Linked DNA regions of Oryzias latipes. The protein of the gene in region 1 purifies or fractionates together with the protein of each later gene. This does not show direct contact. Links are inferred from orthologs where the notes say so. Each region holds a gene or a part of one and is shown on either strand. Other genes may lie near its edges.

Region 1 (3,500 bases):
CTGGGACAGTACATAAAAACATCACAGTCAAACGCAATCCAACAACTAAAGCCAGTCAATAACGCCTCCTGGCACATTCAGAGTAGCTCACAGCAAAGTCGATGCAGCATCGGCTAAAGCATGACGGATAAAAACTAAAAAAATAAATAAAAAAAACATTAAAAAGTCGATAAATCTTGAGCCACATGACTGTTTATTTTAAAACAGAGTGAAAAGTAAAATCTTAATTGATGGCAAGTGACTCACTTTAAGATGGAAACATGCTACGATGGGGAGCTTCTTCATCGTTAACTGTTTGGTAGACTCCTGGTAGCTATGGCAACCACCGCATTTGATTTTGGCACTGCTTCCGAGATGCTCAGGTCTTGTGAATCTGGAAAGCAGGAGAGTTAAATAGAAAACAAGCGTTTAGAAACTGAATGGCAGCAAACTGGAAAAAGCAGAGGATGAGTGGTGTTCACTGCCATTTTTAACACCTGTGTAATCCCAAATGTCAATGTTAAATCCCATGTGAAGATAATCTGAAAACATATGGGGACTTGTATAATAAAGACAACCTACAGGTTTTAAGTCAATTTTAGCTTAGCATCCTAAATCCCGGCTTTTATCGCAGTAGCCTTAATCACCGTGGCAACAGCAGCAGCCTGCTCTGTACCTTTAAGAGACTTGCTGCAGCAAGTGGGGTGTGTTGAGCTGCAGTTGTAAAAAAAAAATAAATAAATAAAAAAAAGATTGGGGAAGACAAATGTGAGAAGTGGAGCCAGAGAGAACAGGGAAAATTGGAATGAGGTGGAGAGAGGGGGAATCAAATAAAATTAGGAGAAGTGAAATAGAAATGGCAGAAGAGGAGGCAGTGGAGGAGATTTGAGAGGTCGCACCTGCTCCGTCAGCGTGGTTATCGGAGAAGATAAGGTTGAAGCAGCTTGTTGTGTGTGAGATTACACCAAACAAACCCACAAATTCAATTTGTTTCCCTTTCACTGAAATGGCTTGAAAGAACAGTCGAAGGTTTATCATGGAATATGATCGGGCTCCCTGCAAACAACACTGGTGTCTAGCGCTTAATGCTGAAAACAAAATAAAATAAAAAAGCAGATGAAAACATTAGAGAGATCCGCTGTACCTGCGCAGACAGTCTGTGAGGGTGGTGGATCCTGACAGGTGGCCCTCCCCATTTACCGTGCCGCTGTCCCCTCCAGGGCTAAGGGGCCAGAAAGGTGTTGATGATCCCGGCAAATCCAGACTGATGTCCCAAAATGGATCTATTGTTGTAGAAACCCCACTTAGGAAATGAAAAGGGGGGGGGGGAAAGTGAAAAGGGGAGGCAAAGAGAGAGATTAGTCGTTTATGTTTAATTAATGCTGTGTGTATCACTGATTACAGGTCATGATGAAAGGCTGATGACATCTGCAGCAACACAAACGGCCACAACAGACTCTGATCGTGTTTTTCTTCCAGCTTGCTGAGCGGTGGGAAGTGTGCACGTGCATAATTGGAGCACTTTTGCATACCAATGTGCAATTCCATAAAGGATTACATCAGGGACAATTGGCTTTATAAAAATGAATATGTATTCTTACAGCTTGATGACAATGAGTGACAACATTACAGAAGGGATGCTTTCGGTGGAGAATGCAGAGAGAACAAACGATCATGTTCTCTGCACCAGGAGGAGCTGCTTCACATTGTCATTATCGATTGAATGAGTCATGATTCTGTAAAACCCAGAGGCCAGCAAGTCAAACTGGTCTGCATTTATGGTGATGTGGAAGTCACTGTGTGCGACTATTGAGCTCCGCTGTTCAACAACCTCATAGCTTCTGTTGGTACCCACTTATCTGTAGTCAACAAGGCCTTTCAGGAAAATTAAAGGATTGTATTTGCCGCATAAATCTACACCAGTAACACCCTTCTACTGTCGGTACAGGTAAGATTGCTCTAAGCCGGGCCCAGCTTGGCTGCTACTCTGGGCGAGGTACTTTGCAGTTCAGTGCAGCGTGAATGTGTTAATGCGACAGGACAGCTCTAGGGGGCAGACAGACAACACTTGAATCGTGCTGCTGTCTAGACAACCTCCATTAAAGCAGCTCTGCAGGGATCGGGCCTTTGAATAAGAGCAGTGAAGAGGACACGAGCCATTCACACAACGCAAAGGGAGGGATGGGCAGCATCCACATTGATCAGCCTCGCTGGTGCGAGGCAAGCGCAGGAGGACAACAGACACATGCGGATGGATGAATAATTAATGTAAGAAAATCTAGAAGGCGTTTGTGAGGCTCCTTTAGGATGAATGGGGAGGAGAAATTGGATGTGATGTTGCGCTCTTCTCACGCAAACCCAACACTTACTGGCAAACTTGACAAGTGACGTCTGATTGCAGGCCCCCAGTGAAGATTTGGTCAATGATGCAGTTACAGTGATTTGGATTGTTGGCCTTTTTTCCATTGTCATCTGGGGGGGAAGAAAAAAAAAAAAAGATACAAACAAATCAGTCTCTCTTCAGGTCTGCGGATGTGTGACCATGTCGGTCTTGGATTTTGTGCTAGATGACTCCTTTTTACACGCCTGATCGCCGTCAGGAGCTAGCTAGTTCCTTAGCAAACATAAACATTTCAGTATGTGTGTGTGGGTCATGTGACGTAAGTGTTAACGCAGAGGAGTGGGAAGAGTGAGTTTGGTTTTTATGGTAGGATTGTCTGTTTTGTTGTTTTTGTTTTAAATGTTAAAGCGCTTCAAGTTGCGCAAGGTATGAGAAGCGATTTGATGTACATGAGATCTTACTGATGGTGTCTCCTTTGCAGTGTCTGTGTAGGACGTCTAATGCCGCGATGAGGAACTCGTGGGCATCTTGCTGCTCGTAGCCTGCGAGGTGGCGTGCGTGAGTCCACACCAGATGCAGCAGCCGGAAGGGAATGTGAGGTGAACGGTGGCCCGAGTAGAACTGAACAAGAATGAACAGACGGTTATCACTTTAAATATTATTTTTGTGTTATAACATCAGCATTGCTAGCTTACTTTGACCTATAGTTATTTGTTCACCAATAATAGAAGGGGGAGCCAGAAAGATATCAAATCCAGCTCTTCAGTTAACAGAACTGGATGCAATGACAATAATGCCACAGTGAGCTAATGCAACACAGACATGGAATAGGGGAGGCCTTGAGGCAAGCAATCCATCTGCTAATTGCAGCAAAAGGTTGCCATGAGAATCGAAGAAAGTGACAGTTTATGTCAGGGTGACACGATGTGGGCGGGAACGTTAGCAAAGCTGAGCTGCAGTACAGGGAAGAAGTCTACGTGAACTACTGATTAAAGATTGGGTTCCTGTCTTTCAAACCCTAGATGTGTCCATCTGGTTTGATTGTATACAGCTATTGCAGATGTACTGACAGCTATTACAAGCATGCCCATCCTTTAGCAGTGTAGGCTGACCTTTGTACATGAAAATGACAGAAAACCCATAAAAAAAAAGATTATAAAATGTAAAAAATATATATATA
Region 2 (4,246 bases), on another chromosome or scaffold:
TCCTTCAACTAATGCTGAGAAAAATTGAGTTTTTCTTTCCGCTTTCAAAATAAAAGCTGACCTCCCCTCTTTTGCATGAAAGACTGCACTGAGCATTGTTTACCACCAGCTGGTTGAAATAAGAATTAATGTCTTCTAGCAGCAGCAATTACATTTGAAGTATTTAGGATCTAGACTTAAGGACTATAAAACGGCTGCAAAAAGGAAAGAATTGGACTAAATAGAAACATTTTTGTGCTCTTAGTTCTCCTTGATGTACGGATGATCCGACATGACAAAGAACAAGGAAAGCTTAACTCACGTCCTCCTCCAGCACGTCACATGCCAGGTGGATGCGCGACACGTCCACCTGATGCGGCGTGGCCTTCAGCTTCCTCGCTCTGAGGCTCCACAGTTTGACGGCGGAGTGATCAAAGCCCGCGGACAGCAGCCGGCTGTCCGGCGACACCTCTGCTGTGTTCAGCATCTGCTCCGTGTGGTGGAAGGCGTAGAAACAGATGGTGGTGAGAGTGGGCGGGCCTTCGCGGACTTTCTTGATGCAGTCCTGCAGAGCCTCCAAGGCCGCTTCGCTCTGTGGGATCCCCACAGGGACCTCCACCCCGTCTGCAGCCTCTCCTCCATCCACCCCCGCCCACGATGTGGTGGAGTTTGGCGCCGTAGCTGAGCCCCCAGCTGCTCCATAAAGCTGATAGTCTGTGCGTCTCAATGCTGCCACATCCACCTGCAGGTGTGTGCTAAACACCCTGCAGAGGGCGCTGTTGTCCTCGCTCTGCAGGTAGCGCAGCAGGTAGTTGTAGGCCGGCTCTGTCAGGTGAACAGTATACTTGTGCTCCAGGAAAGCTCGGAGTTTGGGGTTGGCTGCAACGTCCTGAGCAGTGAGAACATGGCGGAGCTGCTCGATGACGGCGCGCTGCTCGCCGTCCTGAAGAAAGGCTTCATGGAATCGAGTGTAAAACCCGTCTACCGCCCCCTTCAGGCCACACCGCACCATATCCAAGTGGAGGTAAACAAAGAGCGGATAGAGGATGCCGCTCACCTCCCGAGCCCAAGATATTTCTGTTTCTGTAGAAGGGAGACAACTTTGTCAGGACATTTTTTTCAAAAACTAAACTTTCTGTGATCTGATTTTTTTGTGTCTGTTTATTTTCCTTTTTCAGTGGTTCTACATTTATGAGGCAAGGCCTGCTGTTTGGATCATGCCCTTTGAAAAACGTAACTATTTTATGCCAAACGGCCTTTTTAGTCATCAACTCCTGTGTGTTTTTTGTTGAATTCGATAATTGAAGTTTTAATAAGCAAATATTTAAACAATTTAACAATGTTTTCATGAAACAAACAGGGGTCTCAGTGGCTGTGAGAAATGTTTCCTATTAGAAAAAGCACCTTCACCTCACGCGTGTGAGAAATTGTAACCCAGCGAGACACTTTAGAGACCTCATGTCAGCTTTTGTCAGTATTTGCAGCACCGCACACATCTTCAACTTATCAGTTTGTAACTGTCAATTTTCTCACACAGTCTCGTCAGCGAAATAATAATAACTTAGTAATGGAACTCTATCAAGAACTGCTTTGCTGTGGAAGCTGAAGACCCACCAATCAACACAACGGTGGTAGACATCAGACCCAATCATCACAGACATCAACAACACACACTAACAAATAGCTTTGGAAAGTTTTTTTAAAGCGTAAATTTTTATATTTTTAGGCGTCAATATCCTAATTTTGTAAACCAGACATTTTATCTGTGACTAAATTACCCTTAAAAATAAAGCTCTGAACTTGTAAATAAACCTATTGTCTGTATAAGCAGCAGGACTATTTTTGACGTCCGGCATTAAGACACCAGAAAATTACTTTTTAATTATGTTTGAATCCTGAAAATCTCTGGACTGACAGTGGAAAAACTCCACACATGCATACCTGATAGAAAGGAGTGCAGCCTAGAGAACTGCGCCTCATACTGCTGTGGGTCAGACTGGCAGGGAGCTGCAGAGACCACGTTCCCACAGCCAGACTCTGTTTTCACTGCTTACAGATCAGACAGAGAACAGAAAGACAGTCAAGGATCCGTTTCAATGTTTCACACAACTCCAGCTGCACCAGGGCAGAAAGCTCACCTGTCAGGCTGGCAGCCATCTCCTCTGGAGACTGAGACAGTTTGGCTCCTTTCAAAGAGCCGTCGGTGTCCACATACTGCCGCCTCTTCAGGTACTGGGTCACAGCGTACTGGATCTGCTCAGTCCGGACCCTCTTCATGGCCTGAAAAGTCCACAAACAACTTTTGGGATATTTGTTTTAATCCAGTCAATTATAAAATGATGAGGGACTTGAGAGTCAGTTTTTGTGGAAGATGATGTTTATTTACAGCAGCAAAGCCCCCAACAGTTCCAGTGGCTAAATATTTACCAAATCAATATTTAAATTCGTGAGAACTGACTGAAAATTCTGATCTTGGTTTTAAAAAATCGGAAGCATAAAGACTAAATAATCCGGTGGTTACTCTGGAGGATTGCACTAAAAAACTGAGCTAGCCGGTCAATTTAGCATTAGCCAGTAGGTGGCTCTTAATAGTGACGGGCTTTTTCGTCACTAACAGCTAAAAATGCTACTCACTGCATATCTTTTTGTCCCGTTCCGTGAGCAGATAATTCTTTAACGATGGTCCGGTGTTCCCGTTTGCCGTTGGTCCGCCAAAACTACGCCGCTGAATTACAGTGGCGCCCCATCGTGGATACCCGCCTATCTTCTCCCCGTTCTTGCATCCGAAATGCTAAACTAGCTAGCCGCTATGTATCTTCGCTCCATTGCTTCTGCCTGGCGGTGACAAACTAATAAATCGAAGATACATGGATCTTGTTTCTAAATTCTTGTTTTTAAAGTCAACCTTCTACAAAGGTTACTATTATATGATTCCCTTTAACTTCAGGCTCTGATTTGCAACAATCTTGTTCTCTACCTTTAATTAAAATATATATAAATATATATATATTTTTTTTTTGTGGTTTCAGAATATACATATGTGGGCAAAATACTTTTTAACCAATAAAGTGAAAGAAATCTCATTCAAACTAATCCATAAATTCTATCCAACCAAACTATATCTGCAAAGGTTCAAAGAAGATATTGATGTTGCCTGCTCTTTTTGTCAAGAACACCCTGAAGATGCTGTACATTTATTTTGGTCATGTCCCTTCTCCACTACTTCTTGGTCTAAAGTTTGTCATTTCATTTCCGCCCACATTGACCCAGACTTTCGCCTGTACTTAGAAAATGTTATGTTTGGCATCACCCACTGTCCATCTCATAAAAAAGAACAGTTGTACTTCATTAACCTTTTGTTGTTTTTATGCAAATGGCACATTCATAAGTCAAAATTTACGAATCATACCCCTCATTTCTCAATCTTTATCAATGAGTTCAAACAATACATTAAGACAATAAGAAACTCTGATAATAAGAACGCCATCAAAACATTAGATCTGTGTGTTAATTTCAATATATATGCATAAAATGTATTAACCCCCTGGCTTGTTCCTTCGTTGTTGTTGTTCACTGTTTAACATTGTTTTGTATTGAATTTTTACATTCAATAAAGTTTGAAAAAAAATACATATGTGGGCGGGACTATAATGACGTATTATTCACGCGACTGTACCGCGCGGTGTTTGGTTCGAGGGATTCAGTTTCTGTTTTTTGCTCTTTTATCGCGTTAATAGCTTTGGAGACAAACTAGTAATACAGTTTCGGAGCTTTTGGGCTGTCAGGGGGGCACAAAGTATGTTTAGCCCCAGAACTGTTCCAGGTTCCGGTCGCCGGCCGCAGGGCCGAACCCCCGGGAGGAAGAGCCTCTCTGGGCCGGCCAACAGCCTGCTGTTCTCCCCGCGCAGGACGCCTCTGTCGGCGAGGTGAGTGGACTGTCCGAAGAAACGGCATTCTGCTTGAAACCCGGCTTTTGATTTTACATTTCATATAGTAATTTAGTTCAATTGACCCGGATTCAAACACTTAAACACAGTTTACTGCTACAGAGGAGACGCACAGGTGGGGGGAAATTCACAATTTGACATTTCTGACTCATTAAGTTCGTTATTTCAGATATTTCAGTCACTGGGCATCAAAACTTTAGATTCCATCAGAGGATTTATGCTTGTTCTTTTTCTTTTGTCACCCCCGAAATGTGTGTTTTTTCTGATTTTAAATGAATGGAAAACATGTCAGAATTATTCAAGACTTTTAGCAAATGTTT

What was found. Proteins that work in one complex are often made in the same cells at the same time.
Region 2: the proteins of ubiquitin carboxyl-terminal hydrolase 22 (region 1) and taf5l purify together in Homo sapiens (affinity purification with mass spectrometry; 3 studies listed by BioGRID and IntAct, with this or other methods). This does not show direct contact. The link is inferred for Oryzias latipes from reciprocal best matches to the Homo sapiens genes USP22 and TAF5L.

Annotation. Positions count from the first base shown.
Region 1 is NC_019866.2:10,853,391-10,856,890, forward strand, and holds part of ubiquitin carboxyl-terminal hydrolase 22, read right to left. Parts: intron 2,942-3,500; coding exon 2,770-2,941; intron 2,452-2,769; coding exon 2,349-2,451; intron 1,283-2,348; coding exon 1,124-1,282; intron 374-1,123; coding exon 247-373; intron 1-246. UniProt on the Homo sapiens protein: Deubiquitinase that plays a role in several cellular processes including transcriptional regulation, cell cycle progression or innate immunity.
Region 2 is NC_019859.2:2,094,608-2,098,853, reverse strand, and holds the start of taf5l (TAF5-like RNA polymerase II p300/CBP-associated factor-associated factor 65 kDa subunit 5L), read right to left. Parts: upstream 2,801-4,246; 5' UTR 2,614-2,800; intron 2,260-2,613; 5' UTR 2,257-2,259; coding exon 2,118-2,256; intron 2,029-2,117; coding exon 1,921-2,028; intron 1,063-1,920; coding exon 302-1,062; intron 1-301. Other genes in the region: nuclear pore complex protein Nup133, read left to right, coding at 3,778-3,905. UniProt on the Homo sapiens protein: Functions as a component of the PCAF complex. The PCAF complex is capable of efficiently acetylating histones in a nucleosomal context. The PCAF complex could be considered as the human version of the yeast SAGA complex.